Cricetulus griseus: one gene and its partner. The protein of the gene in region 1 interacts with the protein of each later gene in a pairwise test. Links are inferred from orthologs where the notes say so. Each region holds a gene or a part of one and is shown on either strand. Other genes may lie near its edges.

Evidence for each region.
Region 2: the proteins of Tfap2a (region 1) and glutathione S-transferase omega-2 interact in binary tests that used the Homo sapiens proteins (3 or more experiments, as listed by UniProt). The two-hybrid records come from large-scale screens. The link is inferred for Cricetulus griseus from reciprocal best matches to the Homo sapiens genes TFAP2A and GSTO2.

What each region holds. Positions count from the first base shown.
Region 1 is NC_048596.1:260,408,636-260,423,712, reverse strand, and holds the start of Tfap2a (transcription factor AP-2-alpha), read left to right. Parts: upstream 1-7,678; 5' UTR 7,679-7,760; coding exon 7,761-7,811; exon of another isoform or gene 7,812-10,175; intron 10,176-10,325; exon of another isoform or gene 10,326-11,223; coding exon of another isoform or gene 11,224-11,250; intron 11,251-12,538; coding exon 12,539-12,973; intron 12,974-15,077.
Region 2 is NC_048596.1:13,625,987-13,641,063, reverse strand, and holds the start of glutathione S-transferase omega-2, read left to right. Parts: upstream 1-4,934; 5' UTR 4,935-5,008; coding exon 5,009-5,042; intron 5,043-5,294; coding exon 5,295-5,403; intron 5,404-7,667; coding exon 7,668-7,890; intron 7,891-8,713; coding exon 8,714-8,815; intron 8,816-15,077. UniProt on the Homo sapiens protein: Exhibits glutathione-dependent thiol transferase activity. Has high dehydroascorbate reductase activity and may contribute to the recycling of ascorbic acid. Participates in the biotransformation of inorganic arsenic and reduces monomethylarsonic acid (MMA).

The DNA of each region.
Region 1 (15,077 bases):
AGACAAACCACTGATGGGAAAGAGGGCTGCCCTGAGGATTTGCTGCTTGATTCCTGGTCCCCGAAGGCGGAAGCGAACCATACACAGGTCACCACACCAGCGACTTCAGAGTTAACACACTTTTCAGTCGTGGATCCAGGTTCGCAAGTACTTTTAAGGAAAGTCAGGGGCCAGCGCTGGAAGTTCTGCACCAGACACAAATGAGAAGAGTCTTGGTGGCCCCAGGGTGAGTGAAAATGAGGTGCAGAGTGTAATCTTAGCAGCGGGTTCCTTTTGCGGTTTGGGGGCTGGTGGCGCTAAGGAGAGAGAAATGGATTCCTGTGTATCTGATACTCCAGGCCTGGCAGAGCCCCAACTCAACTCTACCTGCACCTGGAGTGGCCTGCCATCTGTCACTCGATCTTTTCTGCCTTTCCCAGATAGCGTGTTCTGAAAGCGCACAGAAAGTTTGCAATCTGGTGCTAAGTCGTAAGGCCCTGTTAGTTACGGAGCCTAGCGGCTCTAGTACTGGGTACTGCTGTCTGTCTGGGAGGGTTGCCCTAAGTCTAGGTTCGGAATGAAGCCGGGAGGCGGCTCAGGTCCGCCCTTCAGGTCCTGTCCTGAGCACTGCAGATGTTTGATTCTCTCTGCCACAGGCGAAGACGGATGAGGAGGTACACCATGGAGAGGCTGTGAGGCTGGGAGCTGGTGTCTGGGGAACAGGAGTCAGCAAAAGTCTGGATGGACTGGACTTTGGGGAGGGGATTCCGGGAAGTGTCTAGACAAACCTTTCAGCCTTGTTGGGTCTGCGGTGAAAAAATGGAGCTGACCTTTTCTTGAACTGAATTGGTTTTGGGTGCTATGAATCCAAGGCGTGTTTGGAACCCTAGGATTGGACCTCCTTGTCGGAGCCAGGTAGCCTCTCCAGTGCTCATGGAAGGATATGTGACTTGCTAAAGAGATTTTCTCAGGTTCCTCTCCCGAATTCTCACCAATTACCCACTTTGAAATAGGGAAACCGAGTTTCAGGTAAGTTCAGAATCTTGCCCGAGACCACTCAACCAGCAAGTGAGAAGTGCAGAACTGAAGAGGGCTCTGAAGTTTGACTGGAAAGCTAAATTCCTGATCTTTTCTCTTCTCCGATCTTCTTTCTCCACCCCCCAGCTTCTGATGAGGGATCCCCAAGACTCTCCCTCCCAAGGTCCAGGCTCTTTGATTTTCAATTTCCCTGCCCGCTCTGAGCAGCAATTGGCTTTGTACACACCACCACGGACGGCCTTGCTTGCCTCTTCCTGCAGGCATCGCCTTGCTCGCCAACAAAAAACACCTAGGGTGGAGATGAATCTCCTCGTGCTCCACCCCAGCCCTGGCACAATCCTGTTTGGTGTTTCAGGGCCGGGCCGGGCCCACTCTGGGAGTGCGCGATGGTTCCTTTTGTGTTAGGGAACGGCAGGGCTGACGGATCTGTAACCATTGCTCACTTGTAAAGGAGCACAGCGCCCCCCAAGGGAAGCACAAAGAGCTGCAAACACTGGCTCCACGTGCGTCTTGGATCAAAAAACTAGGTTTCACCACTCTTCACCACTCTTCAACAGCCTGTAAAAAAACAAGAAAGAAAGAAAGAAAGAAAGAAAGAAAGAAAGAAAACAAAAACAAAAAACCAAGGAGGGTTCAGTGTAGGCATTCATGAGTTTAAAACACAATTTGACTATTAATTGTCTCCAAAAACAAAATAAAGGGAAAACAACCCAAAAACTCCACCTACAAACAAACTCCAAACTTGTTGAGCAAGGTTTTAAGACGGATCCAAGAAAGTTTCCAATCAAGTAGAAAATCGGCACTGAGATGAAAGGCCAGCAGATTAAGGGACGATTAAAATACTGAAGGGACTCCAAGGAGAGACACCAGCACTCCTCCCCTTGACACTCAAGTGGGGTGCACCATCTAGACCGGCCTCCGCTAGGGTAGGAAGGAGGAGTTTTGGGGTGGAGACATCTTCTCCACTCTCCAGTTCGCAGCTGACCTTTTACATATATTTGCTGACATGTCTGAGAAATGGTTTCAGACGGGTTCTTTGTTCCTCCCCAAGTTAGCCACAGGAGAATGACCGAGTCTGCTGTCCCAAGTGCTCCAGGCCTGAGCTCACTCAGTACAACCCGAGATCTCTTGGGTTCCTGGGGAAATGGGTTGCTGCAGTTCTCTGTGGGAGCAGAGCGCCCACCCCCGGGCCAATCTCCTCGCCTCGTTCCTGGCCAGGTGTGATTGCTGACCGAGATGAGCAAGATGGGAGCCCCAAATCCTGTGGCTTCTTTTAAACTCCCCTCTAATTAAAGCAGTAGTGAAGTCACTTGAGCGATTTTATCTGTCATGGGAAAGCAAACCCCAACCCTAAACCTCAGCTGCCCAGCCCAGAGCCATCAACGCCCCACTCTCGCTTTTAAAAGTTTTTTTTTTTTTTAATGAAAAAGATAAAGAGCCTGAAAGTCTTATGGGGCATGGGGATGGGACCACGAACCGTGGGCTGGTGGGCTATATACTTAAGTGTTAAATATTCCACTGTGAAAGAGCATCTGTGTGTGTTTGTGGTTCTCCCCCGGACCCCTCTGCCCCTGGGAGGAGACTAAATCTCGGAGACAGAAATGAGGCAGAATTGCGAATATCTTCTTCACCTATTGAGCAACATTTGATCTGGAATCCACCGCCGAGGCCGCCCTGGGGGTGGCAGTCAGATCCGCTAAGGCAGGCTGTGCCTTGAAGCTCCTGGGCGGGTGAGGAGGAGGGGGCGGGGACCCTGTCCCATTGCTAACCTCCAGGTGTGCCGGGACTCTGGATCTGGGCCTTCCCCAGGTCTGGCCCATCCCCCAACCCATCCCCCCTCCTCTAGCCCAAAAGTTCCGGGGGGCAAGGGAAAGGTGGAATGATCTTGCAGATGCAGCCACTACACGACTGCTCAAACACACGCTCACACCCGCGTGGGACTCAGCAACCTTCAGCAGCCAGTCCCTGGCTTCGGTTCACTGGCCAGGGACTGACCGGGAAAGCGGGTTAGGGCTGTTAGGAAAAGCTGGAGCTGATGGTGAGATTGCCGTGGCTATAAATCCATCACTTCCCAGGTCAGCACAGAGAGGTGCTGGGACTGGGGCTGGCGGAGTGAATTCCTAGGCCAGCGCGCATGCGTCGGCAGGTAGCAACCCAGCTCTTTATGACCAGGTGAGATGTTGGCGAGCAGGTAAAAAAAGGAGGATTTGCCTAAGCGATTCCAGGGAGCGGGCCCGACAGAGCCCTCCAGCCCATGCCCGGAGGGGACCCGTCGCCAGGAGCGCCGAGACGCAATGTCCATACTTGCCAAAATGGGGGACTGGCAGGTACGGGGGTTTGCCTTGGCTGGGGCTGAGGTGGGCGGGGGTGGAGCGGAGGAGGGGGCCGGGAGTGGGGAGGCGGAGAAGAGCCGTGGCCCAGGGCAGGGGAGTCCTAGATGAGGCACGCCTGGCAGCGCCCAAGAGTGTTCCCAGGAGAGAGAAGACTGGATAAACTAGAGCAGGCTACACAGCCTCGGTGCTGGGGGCCAAGCGTGCCGCCCTCCGGGGTAGAGTCCGGAAAAAGTCCAGCGCACGTTCCACAGGTGGCCAGGTGGCCCCTAGGGTCACTTGTGGTTTGATCTCCAGCCATTTCCCCACTCCTACCCCAACAGAAACTTAGGTGGATGACTAATTAAGAAGTGGGGAGGGACGCGGGGCCGGAGGTGTGGGTTCCCCAAGGCTGTGCCTGCCTAGCCCTTAGACCCCAGAGCTGCGCGTCCCGGTGAGGTTCTGGTGCACCTGTCCGGTTGGCTATCCCTTCATTTGGGGTACCTTTGGGGTGGGTGAAAAGGGGTCCGGATGACTGGATATAGCCTGGAGCAAGTTTTCTTGAGAGACACTTTTTTTAAAAAAAAAAAGTTTGTCCAAAGTTTAGCTATTCGCTCAATCGGCTTCCTAGAGTGGGTTTTCTGTTCTTGGACTACAGAATTGCGGGGTGATGAGTAAGATAACAATTTTCGGTACTAGAGTTTGCCAAAGGTGACCCTGCTAGGCCGCAGAAACCCCAGAGCGGACAGGCACTGGGTCTGGCCTTTCCTGACCCAGAGACCCCGGCCCCCGCCCAGGGAACATGCTTCCACACACTCTCCTTACAGGGAAACAAGGGCGGCTCAAGCCAGGTTGAGGGAACACGCTGCCTCTCCCCGGTCGGGCATTTCATAATAGGAACCGCGGGGCCCTGTTTTTGCCCCAGCCAACGGAGGCCTGGTTAGACCGAGATTCTGTAAGCCACAAGCCTAAGGGGCAATTTGAACTAAAGGCTTCGACCTTCCCAAAGAAAAACCAGAGCTGAAAGCTTTGCTCCTCCCAGGGCAAGGCCCTGGAGTTTGGCTTCCTTTTTCTCTTTTTGCCTGAGAGTTCAGCCTTAAACGTTCTGAGAGGTGTTGTCTTCATTACATGTCCAAGAGTTGGAAAAAGGAACACGTTTTGTATTTGTTTTCCTCTTATATTTATTACTTCTATTTGTTGAATGGATATTTTTATACCCCCTCTCTAGTTAAAACTACTAAATAATATTCCTTCCTCAAACTTAGACTGGCTTTGTTTAAGGATGGAAGGCCCACCCCAATCACAAATGCTAGAGCCCTCTCCCTTCTCTCCCCACACCATGTTGGCTTAGCTCTCTTTCTGGGTGCTGAAGCTTGGGGCAGTTACCACTAAATTCTGAAGAGCTCTGCAGGGCATGAGAAGATGCTCACCACCCAGGGTCGCCTGGGGCTGGAGCCAGACCTCCAGTGAGGCAGAATATGGTTTGAAAGCCACCCATAGCTCCCATAGCTAAGGAATGGTGGATCCGAGGGCCTGCTGCTGAGAGCCTTGTAGTTTGGCAAGTGGCAGGAGCCAGAACCTGGGGGGTGAGCGCCAGTGGCTTTGAGTCTCACAGGACCAAGTCCACCAGGCTTGGTCACTTGAGCATCCCTGACCCAATGGGTGTTGAAGATCAGACAGAAGACCCATCCTGGCCCTTGTGTTTTCTTTGTTTTTCTTGATGTCACTCTCAGTGTAGTTCATTCTCTCAGGTCAGGCCTACAGCCCCTGCCCTAACTCCAGGCTCAGCGCTGCTGGCCCAGGGAGCCAGGGCCCCTGCCCAGATGTAGCACTGACTGCAGTGAGATGAATCGTGGTAATGAAACTCATGCAAGCGTTAGCTTCGTTAGCTTCGCCTGGCTCAGGGGCTACCCGACTGCTCTCCCCAGCCTTTTCATCAGAGCCCACACTGCACTGCGGGCGGCGGCGGCACAGAGCTGCCAGGCCCCAATCTGCACGTCAATGGTGCCCCTGGCGGGAATATAACAACAGTTTAGTAGCCCTTAACTGGGTTTTGAGTCAGAGATCTGCGGGGCACTGAGCAGCGAGGAAAGAGGAGGGGGTGAGGGTCCGGTAGGAGAGGATATAAATCCTTAAGCACCTTTTCCCAGGTCACAACTGAAGGAAAAGAAAGCGAAACTTAAGAGTTCCTTCAAGCACCCTGGCAAGTCCGGGTTCTCAGGATGCAAAAACCCATGCTCTAAGGCCTAAGGAGCGGGCCTACAGGTCATAGGGCACCCGGTTGCGGCTGCCTCTGGGAAAGTGGAGGTACTGGCCCCTCCCAGAGGTTGAGCTCCAGGTTTCAAGCCATTTTGCTGCTCAGCAGATCTTGGGGAAAACCTGGCGGGGTCTTGCTTGGATTGTTGAGCGTTTTCTGGACAGAGTGGGGTGCCAAGCTTCTAGAGCCATCAGCCAAATGACTCCTTAAATGTGAGAAGCCATCTCTAGAGAGTCCTCAGGGCCTTGGGTCTTTGAATTCCCTTGTCACCTCTGGCCTTGTCTCTGGGTTTGGCGGAAGGAGGCTGTATCTTAGCTAGGTAGGGTCTTGAGAAGGAAGAATTGCCCTTCCTCGGCTTTGAGTGGAGAGTGGTTCTCTCTCTCTCTCTCTCTCTCTCTCTCTCTCTCTCTCTCTCTCTCTCTCTCTCTCTCTCTCTCTTTCTCCCACCTGTTACTGAACGCTTGGATTTGATGAAGTCTTCAGTCCCATGATGGATTCACTCTGGAAATGGTGGTGGTGGGGCACAGATTTTTTTTTTTTTTTTTTTTTTTTTTTTTTTGGCGAGGGGAAAAACAAAGAAAAGAGAAACACAAAAACAAATGAACCAGAGGTCTCTGAGGGCTATCTGCTGCTGCTGAGAAGTTCCCCACAATTAACAGGAGAAAGAGGAAAATATTTTTAGAGTGTTAGTGCGGGAAAGTCAGCCAGAGAAGTCCCTGTATATCAAACTATCACATTAAAGTCTTTGGATTTTTTTTCTTACTTTAATTGCTGAAAGGGAAGAAGGGTCCCCTGGTGGAGTGAGTAAGCCCCTGAGGGGAGCTGGGGAGCCTGGAGTGGTCAGCTTGGGTAAGGGGGTGTCTCCTTCGGGTTCTTCACCAGCTGGCCATTGTGCCGCCAACGCGCCAGCGTTACTAACATCAAACCATGAAGGATCGCGTCCTTCTTTAATTAAAAAGGAGAATCTTGGGAAAACCGGAGCCGATTAGCACAGGAAGAGTCAGTTCCCAATGATTTATTTTGATGCACGCATGACACGGCATGGAGTGAGTCTCAAGTACTCATAGGTCTGCTTTTCGGCTAACTCCAGAAGCAGCTATATATATATATATCCATCCAAAATTCCGTGTTCTTGTCCACGTTGCACCTGGAAAACCTTACAGTCCAAACACCCCGACGAATTGTCAGTCCGCTCCAGCTTCACACAAACTGGAGGAAAATCATTTAACCCCCGGAGCTGTCGAGTAACCTCTTCAGGGTACAACTTTTATTTTACACGTAGCAATTAAGAGATCGCAAACCCCAACCGAGCCACCAGAGCCGGTTGGCAGAATCTCCAACCTGGGGAGAAAGCGCAAAGCTAATAAAACTCCCAGGGCGCTGCAGCCCGAGGGGGTAACAGCCGTGAGCGGAGGCGATCTCCAGTTGGACAAAAATCCTGGAGTGACTTTGCTGGTCCTGGTTTGATGGTTACGATTCATTGCGAAAGGGATAATGATTTCTAATAAAATCGGATGGGGACGAAAGGCAGATCGGATAGAGGCGGATGTAGTAGCAGGGGTGAGGTGTACTAAAAGTTGGTCCCCTGGCACCGCCGCCAGTACCCTGTGTAGTACCAAGCTTTATCCAAGGCATCTTTGGCTGGCAGGATCCGTAGACAGGCGCAGGGGAAAGGGATGAAATTGGGCCGGGGAAGGGACCGCTGGAGCTAGGGACGGTGCTGGAGCTCTGGGCTAGCTGTTGGGCTAGCTTGCAAGCGTGCAGGCGTGTGCTCTGGGAGCAAGTTCGCGGCTTGAAGAGGCCTTTATACCTGGGTCGGAGCGGCCGGCGGCAGATTGTGGTACTGGCTAGCAATTGGACTATTGTTGATATGCTAATGAGGCGATTAGGCTGTTGGTGAAGAGCAGGAAAAGGGAAAAGTTTCTACCATTAGAGGGAGATCTCCGAGCGCACACGGGAGCTCTCTAACCCTTCTCTCCTCCTCCCTCCTCGCCCTTCTCCTCCTGGCCCTCCTCCTCCTCTCCCTCCTCCTCCTTCCTACCCTTCTCCTCCTCCTCGCCCTCCTCTCCTCCTCCTCCTCTTGTGCTCACCGCCCGCAGCCCGCACTTTGCGCTAACCTAGAGAGTAGCTCCGCTGGGGTGCGAGGCGCAGAGGGGCAAATCCGATCACGCCGATCCATGAAAATGCTTTGGAAACTGACGGATAATATCAAGTACGAAGACTGTGAGGTAAGCGCGGCGCCGGCTCAGTCATCCTTGCGACCACAGGCTTGGAGATCGACCCTCCCTCTCCTCCTCCTCTCCACGCAGCTAGCTGCGAAATGCTGGTGAACAAACTTTCACCAGCGCTGCGCCCGCCCCTCGAATTCGCCCGAAGAGCGCCGGGGAGAAGCTGGAGAGGGTGTACATGGGTCTTGCTTGTTTCACTTTTGTCCTTTGAAGCCCATGTCCCACTCCTCCCCCCCTTTTTTTCCTTCTTACTTGTGGCTTTGCCTGAGAGTGGAACGAAGAGATAAGCTTTTTTTTTTTTTCCTTTAAAACAATTGTTGGCAACTGGGCACGTGCCAGTGCACTCTGGTATCTCTTGAGCAAGAATCTGGGGGTATCTACGATAGCAGGAAGAAAAAATAAAAGAAAATGTTTCCCCTTTCACCTCTTCTCTGAGATTAATATTCCTTTTTCTTTCATTCATTCCTTTCTCTCTAAAGAGGTTCCCTTCTTGCATTTGGAGAAGGGCCCACACAGTTCGCCCAGACCTGGGCAGCACCTCCCTGAAAGCGGGTTCGGCTCGGGAGCCCTCACGTCAGCCTATGGGCTCACTCCTCAGGTCCTATATTCCTTGAAGTTCTAAGCAGTTTCTCCCGCCGAGCTACAGGGTGGACACACCCATGGTGGTGGCTGGGTGCAGATGCACTACCGTACTCTCTGAAGGGGGGGGGCGGGGAATCGCCCTGTGCCGGCCGGAGCTTAGCCACGGGACCCTGAGAATACTGGTGTGACTGCCGATCACCTCTGGTTTTCGAGTGCCCGCTGGGACCACAGAGCGCTCCCCTTGGGAATACATTTTAAAACCCAGGACCCCAGAGAATGACTTTTGGGACAGCCAGGGAGGCATAGGAAAAGAACCAACTGCTTGCAGGAGACGGCCTCAACCTTGCTTTTACAAACCCTGCTGAAAGGAGCTGATGAGTGCATGGGGCGATGGAGGGGTAGTGATTATCCAAATAAATACATGGCAGCCTTGACATTTACTGTTCTTCTTTTGCTTTTTTTTTTTTTTCTTTCCCTTTTGGCATTTGGAGCTGGGGATTCTGGCTGAGGCATCTGTGTGCGGGTGCAGAGACAAGAATTCTGTCTTCACTTGAAATCAGGAACTGGGTTTGTGTGAACGAAATGTCACCCACTCCCTCCCCTTTTCTCTTTGAATACTATTTTACATCTTTCTTCATTCTGGCTCCCCCTTTACCCCTCCCCACCCCCAACCTGGTAGATGGGACACCAGGTGACATCCCTCAGTACCTGCGCTTCTCTGGGGCTCCTGTGGCGTGCCTCGAGGGGCGCGGGAAGCCCTCGTAGGACCAGACACTTTGTTTTCAAGGCTAAGGGTGCCTTTTGCGGATAGGCCTAGGCACCACTAAGCCTCTCTTAGAGCAGTTCATTTCTGAGGGGTCTGAGTTCCCTCTCAAGCCTGGTGATTTTTCACTTTCTCGGAACCTAAAACTCGGTTCTGGGTGCCGGCGCCCTGAGTGGGAGGGTTGATAACCTTCGCGTGGCTCCACACACCGAAGGGGTCTCGAGGGGGAGCGAGATGAACTTGAACCCCCAGAGAGACTCTGGAGGTGCGCGAGAGCGGGGGGGGCGGGGGGGGGAGAATGATGAGAACGGAGTGGGAGAGGAAAAAAAAAAAGTCTGGGCAATTTCAACAACTTTGGTGGCGGCGGGCTAGCTAGCGCTAGGGCAGGACTTCGAGCTTCCGAGCGGGCTTGGAGTTGTCTGATTTGGCCGAGGCTCTGCAGGGACACGCAAGAGGCGAGGTGCCGCTTGTTCCGACAACCGGGCGGGCAGACTGGCAGTGGCGACGCGCGGGGAGAGCTAGCCCTGTCATCTAGAGGGTGTCGGCGGGAGTGGCCCAGCCAGTCCGACGGGTTTGTGCCGGGAGCCGGGAGCCCTTGCCAGAGGCGCCTAGGCTGGGCCGCTTCGCGTCTGTGCGCGCCCGGGGCCGCGTCCGGGCTCCAGCTCCCGGAACCGGGTCCAGGGACCAGCCGAGATTAGAACTGCCGCAGCCGAGGAGCGCACGGCCCGGAGGTCCTAGGGAAGGCAGCTCGTGAGCAGGCGGAGGACAAGGGTTGGCGAAGCGGGCGGGCTGGTCCCAGGCGGGACGCCTGGTCATGGAGGAACAGCGCGGCAGCGGGCAGCCGAGTCCCGAGTGCCAGGCCCCGCTGCGCAGCAGAGAATCCCGCGGCCGGAGAGCGGCGGGAAGCACCTCCCAGGCGCAGAACCCGGTGGGCAGCAGCGCGCGGGTCCCGGGAGCTCCAGCCCGCGGCGAGCGACCCCCGCTCCATTCCGAGGTCTGCCCCAGCCTTTTAGGTCCGATTGTCCTCCCTCGCTTCCTCTCCCCTCCCCCTCCCCCGCGGGCTCCCCCTGCGCAGCTCCGGCTCGGCCCCCTCCTCCTCCTCCTCCCTCCCTCCCTCCTGCCCTCCCTTCCTCCTCCCCGGCGCTCCCTCCTTCCTCCCCCCTCTCTCCACTCCTCTCTCCTCTGGTCGCCCACACTTTCTTTCTCGCACACGCACGCAGACACATCCTCCCTCGTCGCGCTCTCGCCCCTCGGCCTCCCTCTCGCCTTCTTTCTCTTTCACTTTTGCAGGCCCTGCAACCTTTTAAAATGTTGCCCCTTCGCTGTGATTCGCCAGACGCCGCGCCGCGGCCCCCCGCACGCTCGCCCGCTCCCTCCGTCGCCCGCTTTTTGTCTCTCGCGCTCCCTCTCCCCACCTCCGATTTGCTACACTGAGACTCCCGTCAATGACTGCATTGAGAGCCGGCTCCGGCGCGAGTTGCCTCTCCGCTTCACGCTCGATTTCCAGGCATTCTTCCCTTATTAAGTATTCGTGTAATATTAATAGTCATGAATATCTGCTATTAGGAGGCTCCAGGAACGCTGCCCAGCGCGGTTATTAGAAGCTGAAGTGAAGCCGCCGCTAAGAAAAGAGGGGAGACACGGATTAAGGGACATTCACACACACACTCACACACACACTTCACACACATACTTTTTTCCTCTTTTTTCTTTTTGTATTTTTTTTTGGTTGGCTTTTTTTTCTTGTTGTTGTTGTTGTTTTCGTTTTTCTTAAAAGAACTTTGAATCCTAACCGATTGCGGCAGGATAGAGATCGTGGGTTCGACCAGCTGAAGGCGCCGCGCGACTCGGTGGTACAAGTTCGGATGGATCCGAGCCGGGCTCCGACGCTCGCCGGAGCGTCCGCGCGGTGACTGGAGTCCTGGGTGGCGCGGGGCTCTCGGAGCCTTTTGTGTGGGGCTCTCTCGGGCCGCCGGGCAGCCGGGTGCTCGAGGCGTGGTGGTTTTTGTTTTGGGGGTTTGTTTTTGCTTTTTTCCACCCTGACTGGTTACCCCAGACTCTTCGCAGATGTTAGTTCACAGTTTTTCAGCTATGGTGAGTCCCACCCCACCCCCACCCATCCCTGTTTCCTTAGGAATTCTGATCCCGAAACCCGCAGCCGAGAAACTGCCTGAGATCCAGATCCAGGGCTTCTCGGCCCGGGTTCCTTGTGGACATCTCCTCCCACTTGCATTCCTATCTCCCTTTCCTCTTTTCTCTGGCTCTTTTCCATCCTCAAATCCAACGCGTCGCCACTACCCTGTCCCTGCTGGACCTCTCCGCGCACGCAGACCTACCCCGCAGCTCTTTCCCTGGGCCAGTTTCTCGCCCGGTTCGTCTTTATTTCCTTGCGTCTTCTTCACTTGTTCCAGAGCCGCTCTCCACATCCGATGCTTAATCCGTCTGTGGGGGGTGAAAGGCGCACCCCGGTGTGTCCCCTAGCCCGGGGCCTTGAGGCTGAACCTTGGAGGGTTCCGATTCTCTGGAACCCACTCTTGGCTTGCTTTGCAAGCGGATTGCAATAGAGAAATGTAAAGTGAGGGGTTTCTTTTGCCCTTTGGGGCTGGAGGTGGAAGGGGCGGGGGCCTCCGCCCCGGGGTGCCCCTCTTTCTTTTAAAAGAACCGGGTAAGGCAGAATCTTTCTATTTTAAACCCCGTTCCTTACTCCCCTTTCATATCATAAAACGACCCTGCCGTGTAAAAGCCTCCTAACAGAGGAAGCGGAAAAGACAGACACCCCCACCTCAACCATGCAGTTCAAATCTTTAAGCTGGTAATTTAAATGTGTGCTTTCTTACGGCCCCTGTGCGAAACATGTTTCTATTTAAATAGTCATGGAATGGAAATAGTCTTTGAAGGTTTATGATTTTTCCCTTCCAGATTAATGGAAGAGTAAACAATAACGCGGTGGCAGACAGGTTCAAATCCGGGAACAGCAAAGGCTGCTTCTGTTTAATATTTAGTGGATGTTTGAATTTTGCTTAAGGGAGGTTTGGTACTGCGGGTGTTGGGGCTGTACTACAGGACGCCCTTTTACATCTCCTGCCCCCCTTTGAGAGGAATATCTGGGAGAGTCTGTTGTGCCCCTAGATTTACATATTCTGATTTCTTTGCTTTTTTTTTTTTTTTTTTTTTTTTTTTTTTTTTTTTTTTTGAAAAGGCCTGCTTCACTTCTGGGGTATTTTCTAATGCTAACAATGTAGAGCTGATACCCCTACCCCGGCGTCCAGCAGAGGGGAACGGGTGATTTCCCCACATTGGCTTGCCGAATGGATTTAATGGGGGTAGCTAAAACTCTGCGCCTCATTTCTCACTATTTCCCTTTCGTCTTGCTTTCTTCCAGGACCGTCACGACGGCACCAGCAACGGGACGGCAAGGTTGCCCCAGCTGGGCACTGTAGGTCAATCCCCCTACACCAGCGCCCCACCGCTGTCCCATACCCCCAATGCCGACTTCCAGCCTCCCTACTTTCCCCCGCCCTACCAGCCTATCTACCCTCAGTCGCAAGATCCTTACTCCCACGTCAACGACCCCTACAGCCTGAACCCCCTGCACGCCCAGCCGCAGCCGCAGCACCCGGGCTGGCCCGGCCAGAGGCAGAGCCAGGAGTCTGGGCTCTTGCACACGCACAGGGGGTTACCCCACCAGCTGTCGGGCCTGGACCCTCGCAGGGACTACCGGCGGCACGAGGATCTCCTGCACGGCCCACACGGGCTCGGCTCGGGGCTCGGGGACCTCCCGATCCACTCCTTACCTCACGCCATCGAGGACGTCCCGGTAAGAGGCGGTGCGGGCCGCGGGGAGGGAACGCAGCCCTAGGCTCACCTGCCCTCCCGGAAGCTTCCTGGAGCCCAGGCCCGCAGGGCCTTGATTTTCCTCAATAATAGTTGGGAGTGGAAGTGACACTCACTTCAATAACTGAATTTAAAAATGAAAAACTAATTGAGAACAATGCTTCATGGAGCTCGCTCAACAATGCCTGGGTCACCACTTCCAGCCAACAGAAATAAACCAGGCGATGGTCACCATTCTCTGCAGCTTCTCTCCGTGACAATAAATTGTGTAGATTGGGGGGAGGGGTGGGGGGGACACGGGACTTAATTCCGCTGCTGAATGTGTCGTGGGGATTTCTCGCTGTTCTAGGAAAGTGGTTAAATTTAGCCCAGAGAGCTCCTTAAACTATCTCACAAAGTAAAAGAAAGTGCGAGAGACTTAGGGAAAAGGTCCTTGAACCGGGTTTTATAAGCATTAGTGAAACCCAGAAGTTATGCCTCCCCTATCCTGATCAAAGGAAAACAAGTAGCAAATCCAAGCACAGGGACATTAAAATGCAGCTTTCTTCTCTTCCTGGGGGTGCTAAGTGGTGACCTCATAAATCATTAGCTAGGTTCCCAACGCCTATCAGAAGCTGCTACACTGAATATTCAATTAAATGTTTGGATACTATTGGGTGCTGCGTTGAGTTCTAATTCAGTTATCAATAAATGCAGTTTCAAATGATTTCTAAATAAGGACGACCTCAGCACATGTACTATTTACAATGTAACTCAGGCCATTGATAATTTGAAAATACTTTTTAAAATTAAATTGCAACCAGCACCTCAATTTCAGCTCTATAAATTTATGGTTTTCTCACAATCTTCCTGAAATGGAATTAGAGCAAGCCAATATATATATTTTTTTATCGCTGTAAAGGCTTCTGCTAAAGGTACTTTTCTTTGGAAAGGAAATGTATCTGGATGTGATTTTTGCTTAAATGCTATTTCAAATTACTGCATCAAATATAGCAGTGGTATGTCTGTTGACAGTTTAATGATTGCTGAATTAGATTGTAAGGAAAACGACCACATGAACTTACCTGATTGCCTGGCAGATTTAAAACATTCTTGAAGTTCTACAGGAAAATAGAAAATTTATTACCTCTCTCATTTAGCCCAGTTAATCACCGAAATTTGTTGGTTATGCTTAACAGCCTTGCATGAAACACAGGAAGGCAGGCACTTGGTCCAATGCAAGGCTCAGTAAGCATTGTGTGTGTGTGTGTGTGTGTGTGTGTGTGTGTGTGTGTGTGTGCATGCACGCGCGCACGCGCGCATGAACGCGCGCATGTGTTCATATTTGTATGGTTTTAGAAAACTGTGGCTAGTGAATTTGAGGCAATATTTTATAAAAGCAATTTTGAACAGAACTAGAAATTATGGTGATTTTAGTTTTCTTTCTCAGAGAGTCCCTGAATTCTTTTCTTTGCCTGTTCTTTGGAAACACTAATAGCAAAATAATATCTTAAGCTTTTGGAACTGCTGTGTATTGGAAATAGGTCTTCTGCAAAAAATGGCATGAGGCTGCTGGGAATTCTTGATACCTGTGTGGTCACTCTGTGATGCAATTGATCGGTAGGAGAAACTAACCAAATGATCATATAAAAGCAAGAAACCCAGTTGCTCTTCCTCTCCCCCTCCCCCACCTTTCAAGAAAAAAAAAATCCTTCAAAGGAATTTGGGTCAGGAATAGGGTTGTTTTCAATTTCTTCATTGCTGCCACATTTAACTTTTAATAAGAACGACTGCTAAATATTTAAGAAAATCAAGTCAATGGTGAAAATTGTTTAATCATTAATATCTCAGTGGGGTTTTAAACTTAACAGTCTTCCCTGTATGGACAAGGTCTAGCTAGAAATAACAGAAATAAAAGTATTATGCCACACTACATTTACTTTATGGGTTTAGGGTGCATGCATAAAGGGATCATATTTCCCCATATAGTTAAAACACAAGAACTGCAGCAGTAGTCATTTCTGAACATTTCTCAATTTAATTATACTTAAATCCAGAAGCACTTTAGGCAAGTTACAAATGAGAGCATTGAGTATAATAAAACCTGT
Region 2 (15,077 bases), about 250 Mb from region 1:
GATCTCTGTAAGTTTGAGGCCAGTTCGGTCTACCTGTGGACTTTCATAACAGTCAGAGTTATATAGTGAGACCCTGTGTCAAAAAAACAAAATAAATACACGCCTGTATGTGTATGCGCACAGCACACACACACACACACACACACACACACACACACACACACACACACACACACACACACACACACACACAGAGAGAGAGACAGAGACAGAGACAGAGACAGAGAGAAGAAAAACTCATTTCCCTCAAAACGAACTGAAATAGAGTACAGAAATTATTTCCATTCTGTAAACATGTAAATCTTTGATCATCATGATCAAAGAGTCCTGTGTTCCTGGTTCACAAAAGCATATCTGTGGCTGGGGAGATGGAGATGGCTGGGCAGGTAAGGTGCTTATAGAGCAAACATAAGAACCTGACTTCCAGCCCAGAAGCCATGTACAGGCTAGGTGTATTGTAACCCTGTTCTGGGGAGGCAGAGGTGGACCTTTGGATTTCAGGCCAGCCAGCTCAGCCAAATCAACAAGTTCCAACTGTGAGACCCTGTGAGATCTTGACTCAAAAGACCTCTGGCCTCCACATACGTGTTTACACGTGTGCAAATGCACCTCCACACACACACAAACAGTGGATATGATTATATTTCAGATGCGTGGAAACTTTTTTGGAATAGGTTTCTATGACCTTATTATAATTATTTTGCGCTTGAGTTGGTCAATATAATAGTGATGTGAACATGAAATAGCATAGAACATTTGCAAAAACATATTTAGCAGCTACCTTCTGAATCTTTACGAAGAAGTGGAGAACAAGCTTAAAGGTCATAATTAAAATCCTTCCGGGAAAACTGTCATGATCTTTGCTGAGATTAAAAATCACATTCCTGAAATGTACCCTGCAGCATTCAACACATTCAGCCAGCAAACCAGCAAAATGAGTGTTGTGAGTTAGATTTTCACTCTGATACACCTGACAAAGCTCAATTGTGATGCCTGTCTTCTGTATAGATGCAAAATGGGAAGGTACCATGTGTGCTACTAAAATGCATGCTTATTCATTAGTATTTCTCTTTAACTTTGAGGTACATTGAGCTAAAACTCTGAGGTCTGCATGGTTTCATTCCATACTCAAAACCATCATGTACCTACCATCATCTTAAACAAGGAAAGTGGAGATCAAAAAGGCTGGGGATTTTGCCCAAGTGCCAGAAAGCAGGTCACACAGCCCAGGTGGTTCCAGCTCCCGTTTCGAGAATTCTGACATTTCACTGCTTCCCATAGATGAAGAATGCTTCCCACCGCTGTCCTAGCCATACTAAATGGACTTGTATCTCAAAACTTGACCTTCCATATACAGGCATACTTTTTTTTTTCTTTTGAGACAGGATCACTATGTAACTCTGATTCACCTCAGATTCGCCATGGTGCCTCAGACTGTACCACCACAGCTTTCTTAATAAATGACATTTCCAGCTCTCACATTTAGTTTTATTTAGAAGGAGAGAATCATGAGGGAAAATTGGAAATACAGCCTTTTCTGGCATAATAGAATCTCTTAATTTGCAAATGGAATTCTCATTCTATTTTTAGCTCAGCCATTGCAACAAAAGCTATGAATGACCAAATTAAAACCACTCAGGCTAACTCAGGCCAACTGCTGAATTCTGTGCAGCTCAAAGAGCTAAGAATCTTTTCAAAAAAGTAACCGTTTTAAGTAGCTGGAAATATCAAAATATAAATCATAAGTCGTAATGTAGAAATCACACAAAAGTGAGCCACCGTGGACGGTTTGTGAATTGTGGACTTGGAGTGACGTGTCAATGTATGTACATGTATCGTAACAAAGACACCGCTCTGATGGAATGTTAACAGTACAGGAGGCTGTGTGCGGAGCTTGCGGGAATATGAGCTGCCTCTCTGTTATGCTTTATAGTGCTGTGAACCTAAAGCAGCTCTAAAAGTTATAGGCTATTAAAACATATATCAAGCTCAGAGACCATAAGTAAGGGTTTATTGGTGCACAGCTGTGCCCATTCATGGTAAGAACTGAGCAGATGAGATGTGAAAAGCCTTCAGTATTCACTCCATGGGGAGAAGTTTTCTGACTGTCCATTCCACGGCATCTGCTACTGACTAAGCTACTGGATTAGAATGATGTCCTCAGAGTTAAAATTCTTCTCCTCTCTTCCAGTTACCATTTAACAAGTGCTTGTTAGCACTCACTCATCTTTTGAACGGGATAATAAGTCCTATAGGACTACTTACAGGGCCAGTTTAAGGGTTAAATGAACTATAAAGCACCAAACAGGTCAGTAATAATCCATTTTGATTTTGAAAGTCTGCCTTTCTCTTATGCCTTCCCTTTTAGAATCTGGGAGTGGCCGGGCGTTGGTGGCGCACGCCTTTAATCCCAGCACTCGGGAGGCAGAGGCAGGCGGATCTCTGTGAGTTCGAGACCAGCCTGGTCTACAAGAGCTAGTTCCAGGACAGCCTCCAAAGCCACAGAGAAACCCTGGCTCGAAAAACAAAAAAACAAAACAACAACAACAACAAAAAAAGAATCTGGGAGTGTTTTCCTCAATCACCTGCTTTCTTTATGTGCAAGGTGAATGAAAAGAGAAAAGAAAAAGAAGGACATGACAGCTCCTTAGGGAGTTGAGGTTTTTATTATAGATGTCAGGAAGAATACAGTGGAGGAGAAACATCTGGGAGAGCTCAGAGTGGATGTAACTGGAAGACTGAGTTGGGCCATGTGGGGAAAGGAGAGTCCTGGGCTGGTAGAGGGCAGGGGATGCCAGCCAGGACCCTGCAACAGGAAGGGACTGAGGCATTCAGGAACCTGGTGGTCAGCATCCTCTTTAGTCCTAATAGGTCCTCAGTCCTTGGTCCTGAGTTTGAGACCTAAGGTACCTTTGTTTGCTCAGAAGCCGGCTCCTTACCCCGCCTTACTTAGCACAGCTTGGTTTGCCCCTTGTTTCTGTTTTACCCTCAAGCTTGTCCTTGATCCAAGTTAGTTCCAGGGAAGTAGTTGCCTGTGACTGCATCTGCCAAAGTGAAAGCATCAGCAAGGCAAGGCGGGGTCTGCCTTAACCGTTACTAGGTTTCTGTGGCACCTACGTACTTCCAAGCATTGATCCAGGCCTCCCCCCAACCCCTGCTCCCCACCATTCCTAATTCCTTTATGGGAGCTATGGATGAGGCATTCCCTGACTCCCTTATAGGAGCTATGGACGAGGAATTCCCTGACTCCCTTATAGGAGCTATGGACGAGGAATTCCCTGACTCCCTTATAGGAGCTATGGACGAGGCATTCCCTGACTCCCTTATAGGAGCTATGGACGAGGCATTCACTGACTCCCTTATAGGAGCTATGGACGAGGCATTCCCTGACTCCCTTATAGGAGCTATGGACGAGGCATTCCCTGATTCCCTTATGGGAGCTATGGACGAGGCATTCCCTGATTCCTTTATGGGAGCTATGGACGAGGCATTCCCTGATTCCTTTATGGGAGCTATGGACGAGGCATTCCCTGACTCCTTTATAGGAGCTATGGACGAGGCATTCCCTGACTCCCTTATAGGAGCTATGGACGAGGAATTCCCTGACTCCTTTATGGGAGCTATGGACGAGGAATTCCCTGATTCCTTTATGGGAGCTATGGAGTTTGGCATTTAGGCTTAACTCTCACAGAATCACTGGATTCTTGACTAAAACTGTGGTTGAATTTGTTCTGAAGATTTCAAAGATTCTTATTCTGTAGAAAAAATACTATTATTAGCCAAGACATTCTGGAGAGGTGAGAATTCCAAAGGCCCAGAACTGTCCATCTTCTAAGCCCTATGACAAAGGTCTGCTATTTTAATGAGAAATCAGACCCAGCAATGAAGCTGCCATTATGCGCTGTATGTTTTTCCAGACATAAACTCTCTGCTGTTGCAGCCCAGTCTTTGGATTTTTAAAATTCTTTGATTCTATTAACTGTTCACTTTGGCCAAATTATTTCACTTTTCTGAGGCACTTTTGTAAAAGAGTAATAGTGTTGAAGACATGACACGGACGTTTGGGAAATGAGACACGCAATGCTTTTCTGTCCTTCCTGTCACTCCATAAAATGCATTTGCCAGCCATTTCCACGTCATCTCAGCCTGGGAAGTTAAAGGAATCCTTATTTCCCCTGCTGGAATTCAGGCTCTCAGCTTAAAGTGTCAGAGTCAAGGCCCGCTGCCTCCTAGTCTCTTGTAGACGGGAGCTGGAGCTGCGTTGTTGAGCTCTGTCCTTGGAAACTATAACACTTCCGGGGAAAGTCAGGCTGGAGGTCTCAGAAGCGACTCTTGGCCTTTAGGGTCTCATTCTTATTCACTGCCAGCTTTTCAGAACATGGGTAGAAATCTCACAAATAGATGGTCAGGGACTGAAGCTGCCTGCCATTCGCTTTCTGAGTGATGCAGGGTCTCACCACACCCTAAGTCTTTCGTCCCATTTGCCAAACCGTGAGAGAGTTTGGCCTTTTTAGCCGAACACGTTATACGGAAGGTCTGGCCAATTATCAGCTTAAAACAAAGATGTGTGATGGAAAGGAAAAGTTAACATTAGTACATTTTAAAAAGTTAAGATCGGTAAATTTTTATTCGATGCCTTTGAAATCTACGTGGGGGTTTAAATGTCCAGTCTTCTTCGTGTGGGTGAGCACCATCCCCCATGCTTTCCCCCTTGTGTCTTAAAACAGGAAGCACTTTGGGGGGAGTGGTTTGGGATTTATTGTTTCCCTCGCCCCTTTATGGACTTCCACGTCTGGGGCGGTGACTGGGAGGGGGCTAGATTATCCTAGCTCCCACCCCAGGGGTCCCAGTTCACTTCCTCTCTGCCCCACCAGAGTGCTGTTGACTGTTGAGAAATTCAATTTGGGTCTGGAGGGAGCCCAGCTGTACGTGGAGCCAGCAGCAGCAGAGAGAGCCACAAGGCGGCGACTGTGAGCTTTTGGGTACTGCGTAGACTCTATGGAGACTGATGTCTGGGGATGCGACCAGAAGCTTGGGGAGAGGTAAACCTTCGAGACTTTTGTAACCTTAGACTGGGGGAGAGGCCTGATGGGGCTGCCCTCTCTGGACAGGAGTAACTAAGCCTGTAACCGACTTGGACGGCTCATCCCCTGCACAAACTATGTGCAAGTGTCCCCTCTGGAACTTGAGAGGCTCAGTTCACAGAGTCCTCTGCAATGCCCATGAGGTGAGCAAGGCCCCTCCCCACAGGGCTAACCAGATCTCCATCTTTTCACCCCTGCCCCGCCCTGCAGGCAGCAGTCCCCCAGGGCCAGTCCCTGAGGGTGTCATCCGAATCTACAGCATGAGGTTCTGCCCCTACTCGCAAAGGGCACGCCTGGTCCTCAAGGCCAAAGGCATCAGGTGAGAAACCAAGGCCAAGTGCTCCCTGAGCACGTTGCTCACCCCTCATCTGCAGGGACTTATTTAAAGTCTTGGGCTCCTAGAAGGGCTCCTCTTCCCTTTCTTCTGAGGCGAGTGACTCCAAGGACTGATTTTGTGTAGGCTTTACTGAAATGCTGAGTTCTTTTCCAAATCAGATTTTCATGAACTTTTAGACGAGGCAGCCAAAACTGAATGATGCTGTTGGCGAAACGGTCCCCACCCACCCACTGTTTGTTTAGGAGGGGCACAGTTAGTAAGGGCTCACTGAGGCCTCCTAACTGCACCAACACGGCCTTACTTTTGCCCTGAGCAGCTTGGATTAACTGCTCTATTTCTTTATGGTGCTTAACCACGTCTATCATTTCCTCATCTGTTCCATCTTTCTACCTCCTCTCCCCCTCTCTCCCACCCCATGGCAACCATACACAAAAGGAGTTTAAGAGAGGAAGGAGGGCTGCCATGTTGGGTGCTAGAAGAGAGCCTGGCACTCAGTAAGTATTCAAAAGTGTCTGTTGGGGATGTAGCTGAGTTCGTTGGAGTGCTTGCTCAGCGTGTATGAGGCACCGGTTTTACACGCAGTGACAGCAAGAAACCAAGTGTGGAGGAACGTCCCTATGATCTCAGAACATAGGAGGTCGAGGCAGGAGGATCAGAAGTTCAAGAACGCTCTTGCTTACATACCAAGTTCCAGGTCAGCCTTGGCCACATAAGACCCCGTCTTATACACAAAACTCAAGTGTCACTGCAGCCTCTGGCTCAGGGCTTGGGAAGCACATCATAGGATTTGGCATTAGACTTTTAGTTCATGTCATGAATAGAGAGACCAATATGGAGATGTTTTAAATAAAAGCTGTTAACACTGCATTGATTCGTATGTATATAACATACATTTGCAGTTGTTCCTGCTGGCTCAAATCTATCTATATGGTTACCTGTCCTTTTTGTTTGGTTTTAGAAAAATAAGAGCAATACAATATGTTGCTCATTTGGGGACAAACTTATAGTTTAGGAACTGAGGCAAATGTTTCTGGGGTTTTGTTGCTTGTTTGGAGACAGGGTGTGATGTAGCTCAGGCAGACCACAAACTCACTGTGTGTCTGAGGATGACCTTGAACTTTTGGTCCTCTGACTGGCCCTCCACAGTGTTGGATTTACAGCAGTGTGTCACCATGCCTGGCTGTGTGATGCTGGGGACGGAATCCAGGACTTCCTGTAGCTGGGCAAGTACTTTACCACCTAAGCCACAGGCCTGGGCCCATAACTGATTTTTCAGAGTGGAGTTCCTCAACCTTAGCACCACTGGCTGAATTTGCTGGGGAGAGGAAAGAGGACTGTCTTGTGCATTCCAGGTTATTTTGTTATCCCCACCTTTATGTATTAGGATGGTACCCCACTCCCAGGGTGAAGATCAAAGGGTCCCTAGATATTGATATACACTCTTTGCATGGGGGAGAGGTAAAATAATCTTGTTGGGAACTCCCACTTTGAAGAATGTAACTATTTGTTTCCTTTAATCTTTATAAACTGCTTGTGCCTCTGGCAACTTCCTGGTTTTGAACCTCCAATAATAATGAATAGGGGAGGACTGAAAAGTGATTGCATGCTAATTAATATACTATATCTCCCCCAAACACTACACATGCTCGCTGTTTTAACATCACAGTGATGCCAAGAGATGGGTACAGGTATTACCTCCTTACAGTTGTGGACACTGAGTACGGAGAGAAGGAACTGACTAAGATCCCAGCTTGACCATACAAGTTTGATGGCGGGTTTGCGATCTTAACTGTTAACATTCACCAATGTCTGTTATAACCTGTCAATACACATTTGCATCTTGGTGGTTGTTAATGCTTGCTTTTGAGACAGGGTCTCACTGTGTAGCTCAGATTGTTCTCTAACTAACATCCCCCTGTCTGGGTCCTGTTGAGTCTGTGCCTTCAGGCTTTCATCTTTCAGCCATGTGGCCAACGCATATGGAATCAGTCAGCCTGGCTCTCATCTTGCCTCAGCTGCTTCTGAGGAGATGATGTCTGGCCTGAGATTCAATCACAGGAAAAGAAAAGCCATGGAAGACACCTAACACCTCTGCAGAATGAACACACGTGTTACATATTTGACAAAAAATTCCTACATCCAACAGCTCTAAGCATGAAGGTTACAGCTGTTTGTTTTCCAGGCTGAGTGTCTTCCTGTATGTGTCTCATTTCTAGTTTGTCTGTCTTTTCCTTTCCCTTTTTAAGGCATGAAGTTGTCAACATTAACCTGAAGAACAAGCCTGAGTGGTACTTTACAAAACACCCTTTTGGCCAGATTCCTGTCCTGGAAAACAGCCAGGGTCAACTGGTCTATGAATCTGTCATCGCTTGTGAGTACCTGGATGACCTCTACCCGGGAAGGAAGCTGTTTCCATTTGACCCTTATGAACGAGCTCGCCAGAAGATGTTACTGGAACTATTCTGTAAGGTAATTTTACTTTGTGTTTCCCCAGCTTCCATCCATTCTAAAGTCAATCATGGCATAGTTTGAACCGTGAGCCTCTGAAGAATAACTCAGATGGGGTAAGAGTCAGGTGTGACCAGCGACTTTCAGAGTGGGAGGCAGAAATTCATGTGGCCAGAAATGGGAGTATTGAAACAGCTGAAACTAATAAGCCTCTTACAGGAGCATTTCTCAAGCATGTGTGTGGGCATGTGCACACTTGAACACACACACAAACATACAGGAACACACAAAATAAATACATGAATAAATGTTTAAAAAATAAGATTCAGAGTGAGTGAGGAAGACATGCAATGTTGACATCTGGCCTACACACACACACACACACACACACGAGTTATGTACTCAACTTAATGATATTAATAGTGTTAATTATGCTATTAATCAATGACATATATTGAACACTCAGGATGTTCCAAATCATCTCTATTGATTCCCTCCCTTGACTGCCCCGGGAGGGGGTATTGTTGCTGGAACCATTTTTCAGACAGGAACACTGAGACTTGAAGAGGCTAAATGACTGCCTTCCTCAGAGTGTACAGCATGGGACTAGATGATCAAGCAGTGGGCACGGAGAACCCTGCTAAAGCCCTCTTGGCTTGATCAGATGCTGTGAGAAGTGGTTCCTGGAAGCACAGAGATGACCCAGGGCCTCTTGCCAAGGATGTGGACATCTGCATGTGGCCAAGTCCTCCTGTGCTGGAGCTGGGAAGCTTCTGTGCATTTCAGTCAGCGTGGGGACAGTTTTCACAAACACCTCCACTAAGAACCTGTGTCCTCTGACTAGATCCCACACTTAACCAAGGAAAGTCTGGTAGCGATGAGATGCGGGAGAGAGTGTACGGATCTGAAGACTGCCCTGCGTCAGGAGTTCCGTAATCTGGAAGAGGTACAAAGGAGCATCCTTCCCATCAGAGGCGAGGGACCACGCCATGTGTAGTGTCTCTAACTGAGACACCCTGACGTCACCGGCTTGCAGACTTTATGCCCAGCTTTGATGTGATCCCTTTCTAGTTGTCTGACTGTGACCTGCACATGCTTGCATCCCTGACCTTTCCTGAAAGGACCTGAATTTGTCCTTTCCTGGCATTGTGTTGTTCCCTGAGATTCTCTGCATGGTTTCTGCCGATGAGGCTGAGGTATCGGCTGGTGGCCGTGTAGGAATTGTCTAATGATGGTTTAGTCTCTCACATTACAAATCGGGGGAAGCAGGGGAGTCCAAGGCTGTTTCCATGCCTCCTCACGAGGTTGTCAGGGACTGAAGCTCATCTTTCTGTCCTGTCACATTTAGTGCAAGGTTTTCATCCTTAAAAACAAGATGGCTGCTGGGTCTTCTGGCATCACCTTCTTCTTAGGCTCTAGCTAAGCGAAGGAGAGAGAAAAGCAGCAAATGCCGGACCCTCCTAAAGGACTCACCCAGAAATGCCGGACCTTCTTAAAGGACTCACCCAGATTTAGTTGTCAGGTTGTGACAGTCAGCAGAGGAGGCTGGGAGATCTATCTTTTAGTTGAGAGGAGGCTGGGGAATTTATCTTTTAGTTGAGATACCCCGAATAAAATCAGTTTGGTGTATTTTAGAAATGGAAGGTGCGTGTGGATGGACGAGCAGTCTTTGCTGGTAGAGTTGCTGTACCAGGACAATCACGGAGCCCTGCCACCCACCCCACCCTGCGTGTGCTCTGTGGGTCTTTGACTTTCTTTACCTTTGGTCTAGAAACCAATGAATTCTTTTTCTGTGTGAGGTTGCTTCCCTGCTGACAGCCAGAAAACTACTATCTTTATCTCTTTAGAAGAACTCTAGCTACTAACATTCTTCCATTTGACTTTATCAACTAAAAGCAGATTAAATTCATACACACTGTTTCCTGTTTTGGAGTTGTACAATTGGAAGATGAATAATAAGAAATACTAACTTTTGTCCTGAGGTCTCAGACTCCAACGACCCCGAGGAGGTGATGGATGTCATGATTTTAAGTGGGGCTTTGCTGGGTTCCAGGGTTTTGAGCAATAGGAAACCTGGGGGATGGTTCCAGAACTGTTTTCACCCACACCAGCACTGCGTTTAGTCACAGTGTTGAAGAGGGCATCTAACAAGAGCCTTTGTCCAGGAAGAGCACAACTTTAAAAGAAGTCATTGAAACCTCTCTGAATAGAGAATTTTTAATGTCTCTGTGTTTGGTGGTGGTTGCTATTGTTTCTTGTTTTTGAGACAGGGTCTCACTATGTTGCCCTTGAACTCATGGAGATCTGCTTGTCTTTGCCTTCCAAGTGCTGGGATTGAAAGTGTGTGTGAGCTAAGACACATGGGGGTGGGCCTAGGCCTTATCCCAAAGGATACGATAGACTCTGATGACACCCTATGGAAGGCCTCACCCTCCAGGGGGAGCAGAAAGGATATGTGATAGATAGGGTTTTAGTTGGGGGGGGCTGGTAGGGGAGGACGGGAGGGAGAGGGAACTGGGATTGTCATGTAAAACAATCTTGTTTCTAATTCAAATTTAAAAAAATTCTGGGAAAAAAAAAGAAATTCCTGTCATCACCCCCAGCTTAATCTCTTTCTCTTTCACATTCTCTCTCTCTCTCTCTCTCTCTCTCTCTCTCTCTCTCTCACACACACACACACACACACACACACACACACACACACACACACGGTCATCCGAACTAATCCCATCCTCTCTGGTTCCTTTCTCATGATACCTGAACACTGGGTCAGATTAAGGAGCTGAAAACAAACCCCTGAATTCGGGGGTCACTGACAGTACATTTTGGTTTTTCTTGCTGCTCCTCTGCATGAACCCAGGGAGTCGGGATGCAGGCATGACTCTTCTCTTCAGTTGGGGCTCTCTCTCAGGACAATTATGCCAGAAGTTTGTGCCACACACTATGGTGTAGTGCTTTGTGTACACTTACTCCTGCTCACAGCATCCTGCTTAGGCCAAGATCACTCCAGCAAATCAGGATGGCTGTGAACTAACTAAGAATGCAAACATAAAGATATCCAGAGGTTTCGTGACAGAAATGGAGGTCAACCGTCAAACTCATTTTGAAGCAAGTGTTGCAATTAAAACAACACAAAACAAAACAAAAACAAAACAAAACGGGCATGCCAGAGAAACACACCATGCAACAGAACTTGGGTCGAGGGTGTTTTTGTTTTTAACTGGAGGAAAGTGAATGGGAAAGGGAGGAAGGGAGAAGGAGACTGGCCTCTGGGGACAGGAGCAACAGAAGAGAAGAGAGAGAGGGGCAGAAAGGCGGGGGGGGGAAATGACAGACAGATAGACAGACAGACAGGGAGAAAGAGTGATGGGAGGTGGGCAGGGCCCTTTTAAAAGGGAACATAGTGAATGTGCACAGGTGGTGTTCTTAGTGGCTGCAGCTGAGGGCAGATCCTGTCAGAACCCCAAGGACAGGCCAGTACAGAAGCCTGAATACTAACAGCAAGTATGTGGAGTACTAGTCTGGAGACACACGGAAGAGAGAGCTGTTGTGTGTAGGAGAGCAAAGAATCAGGGCACAAGGCAGACCACAGACAGAAGCCTCCCTCCCACCCAAGGAATTTCCCCTTGATCCCGAAGTCAATGTGGAGTAACTAGCTAGCAGTGTTAACAGAAAAGACAGGAAGGTATAGCCAGCAGGGTGGTGATGAGTATGTCACAATACTCCCTGAAAAAGTAAGTAAAAACAAAAAAGAACCAAAACCCCGATTTTATTTGTAACATTTGCCCATTTCAGTGGTGGAACACCTCCCAGCAGGCCGCTTTTCAGGTGCTGCCTCTGAACCCCCTTGGGAAGAGGTGTGGCCAGTCGGCCAGCTCCAGTGCCTCACTGAGCAACACTTTTCTCTTTGCCTTTAGCCAGGGCCTCAGAGCCTTGGCTCTGGTAGTGCCACCCACGCATGTAAGGACTGCTGAATGTTCAGCTTTGTTTTGGTGTCTTTGGGTGGGAGTTTTGTTCCATTGTGTTAGGAAGAGCTCTAGACATCGGAACCTCAAACCATCGGGGTGGATGTGAGCTCTAAGAGCAGTTCCTCCAAATAGTAATATGCGGACTCCAGGGCCTAGGGCACACAGTCTGGGGGATCTAGTGAAATTAAAATAATTACCAAATAATCTGACAGAAATGCCCCTTAATTCACACGAACATTTTTCTCCTGTTTCTTTCTCTTTTTTTCCTTTCTTTCTTTCTTTCTTTTTTTTGATAGGGTCTTGTAGTATAGCCCCAGTTGTCATGGAACTTACCATATTCTTCATGTTGGTTTTACAAGCAGGATTTTGTGTGTGCTAAAAAGCTATTAACACACATGATCTTTCTGAGGGACAAATAAGCTGATATTCTCTCTCTCTCTCTCTCTCTCTCTCTCTCTCTCTCTCTCTCTGTGTGTGTGTGTGTGTGTGTGTGTGTGTGTGTGTGTGTGTGTCTTTTTTAATGTGTAGGGCTTGGATGGGGCTATGGATCACCATACACTTCAAGTGGGTTTTTTAAATTACATTTTTTCATTTTACATACCCACCCCAGTTCCCCCTCCCTCCCTTTCTGCTGCCCACCAACCCCCATCCCACCTCCCATCCACTCCTCCGGGCAAGGTCTCCCTTGGGGAGTCAACACAGTCTGGCATACCAAGTTGAGGAGTGACCAAGCCCCGGCCCCTCTGTATCAAGGCTGAGTAAGGCGTCTCACCATAGGGAATGGGCTCCAAAAAGCCCACGCACCCAGGGTATGTCCTGGTCTCACTGCCAGCTGGCACCCCCACAATAGATCAAGCCATATAACTGTCACCCACTTTCAGAGGGTCTACTTTTGGTCCCATGCAGGGTCCCCAGCTGTCAGTCTGTGAGCTCCCAATAGCTTGGGTCAGCTCCCTCTGTGGTTTTCCCACTCATGACCTTGACCTCCCCTTGCTCATATGGCCCCTCCTCCCTCTCTTCAGCTGAACTCCAGGAGCTCAGCCCGGTGCTTGGCTGTGGGTCACTGCATCTGCTTCCATCAGTTACTGGATGCAGTAGGTTCTATGATGACAATTAGTGTGTCACTAATCTGATTATACGGGAAGGCCAGGTCACGCACCCTCTCCACTATTGCTAGTTTTAGCTGGGGTCATCCTTGAGGATTTCTGAGAATTTCCCTAGTACCAGGTTTCTCCCTGACCCCATAATGGTTCCCTCTATCAAGACATCTCTGTCCCTCCCCCGACTTGGGCATCTCCATCCCTCATATTCCCACCCCCCACCCTCTCTCTTCTACCTCCCTCCAGTTGGCCCTTATCTATCTCCCCTTCCTGGGGCTCTCCATGCCTGTCCCTCTTAGGGTCCTCTTTTTTTTTACCTAGCTTCTCTGGGGTTGTGGATTGTAGGTTGGTTATCCTTTGCTTTATATCTAACATTTACTTACCATGTTTGTCTTCCTGGGTTTGGGTTCCCTCACTTAGGAATTTTTTCTAGTTCCATCCATCTGCCTGCAAATTTCACGATGTCATTGTTTTTTACTGCTGAGTAGTACTCTACTGTGTAAATGTATCACGTTTTCTTTATCCATTCTTCAGTTGAGGGGCATCTAGGTTGTTTCCAGGTTCTGGTTATTATGAATAATGCTGCTATGAACACAGTTGAGCAAATAAATGTCCTTGAGGTGGGAGTGTGCATCCTTTGGGTATCTATATACTCTCTCAAGGATTTCCGAGTAATGGGCTAAATGATGGCAGAGTAATGTAGGTGCCATTGCAAGGGTTATACTGGGCTTTTTAGAATGTGTGGTCTGAAGAAGTCTGGAATTAGCTTTTTAAAATCGCTCCTCTTGTTACTAAAATTGTGGTGGTATGTGGCCCAAAACAGTAAGTTCCCCTGTTTCTGTAACACTTCTTTCTTAAAAGCCTTGAAGATTTTTTCTCTTTAACTTAGAGAGCCCGCCCTGGCCACTGCAGCACACCACCCATGGCCACCAGGGGGAGCCACACACACTTCTTCCACCTGTGGTCCCCACTGATATTCCTCTTCATTCCTCTAGGGGGAGCCTGAGAGCTCCGGTTCCTGAGTGGAAATAAGGCATCTTCACCAAACCAAACAGCCCTCCCGGCTGCTGTCACTCACCAGCCACTCCTTATCATGCTTCTAGTCTTCTTTTTCAGTGACTGGGGAAAGAAAACAAATTTTGTATTACTATTTAAAAAATTTTTTTTAACTTACAGTTTTGGTCATCATTGTGTATCCGTATAAAGTGTGTGTGTGTGAGTGTGTGTGTGTGTGAGTGTGTGTGTGTGTGTGTGTGTGTGTGTGTGTGTGAGTGTGTGTGTGTGTGTGAGTGTGTGTGTGAGTGTGTGTGTGTGTGTGTGAGTGTGTGTGTGTGTGTGTGTGTGAGTGTGTGTGTGTGTGTGTGTGTGTGTGTGTGTGTGTGTGTGTGTGTGTGTGAAGCAGGAACACATGTGGTGGTCAGAGGATAACCTCTGACGTTGATTCCCAGCTCCACCTTGTCTGAGGCAAGGGTCTCTGTTGGTTTTGCTCTGCTTAGTTGGGGTGTCTCCCCACAAGCTTCCCCGAGTGCAGGGATTACAGAGGCCTTGTTACTCTATCTGGCATTTATTTATTTATTTGGTTAGTTAGTTAGTTATTTTGGTTTTTCAAGACAGGGTTACTCTGTGGCTTTGGAGGCTGTCCTGGAACCAGCTCCTGTAGACCAGGCTGGTCTCGAACTCACAGATCCGTCTGCCTCTGCCTCCGAGTTCTGGGATTAAAGGCTTGCACCACCACCGCCTGGCACTCTATCTGGCTTTAACTGTTCTCGTTTGTATGTTTATTTTTACCTGGGTTTTTAGGATTTGAACTCATTTCACATTTATCCGCTGATCCATCTCTCCAACCTCAGAACAATTTAAAGTAGTTTCTTTGGAATGCTGCAAACACCAAATTCCCCTTTGCAGGATCTCCCCGTCACAGTATCTGGGATTCTAAGAATGGAACAACATTGTGTCTGAGAGGTACCAGATTAGCATTGAAGAGAACTCCTTATTGAAGATCCTAAATACAGCAGCAAATCTCCAGGGGGCTGGGCCAGGGTGCCCTGTGTCACCTGGAAGTATCTGTAAAGAAATCCAAGGTGAGGGGAGTTTTAGGCTTGCCCTGTACACAGTGACAAGGAGCATCTTAGGAGGAAGG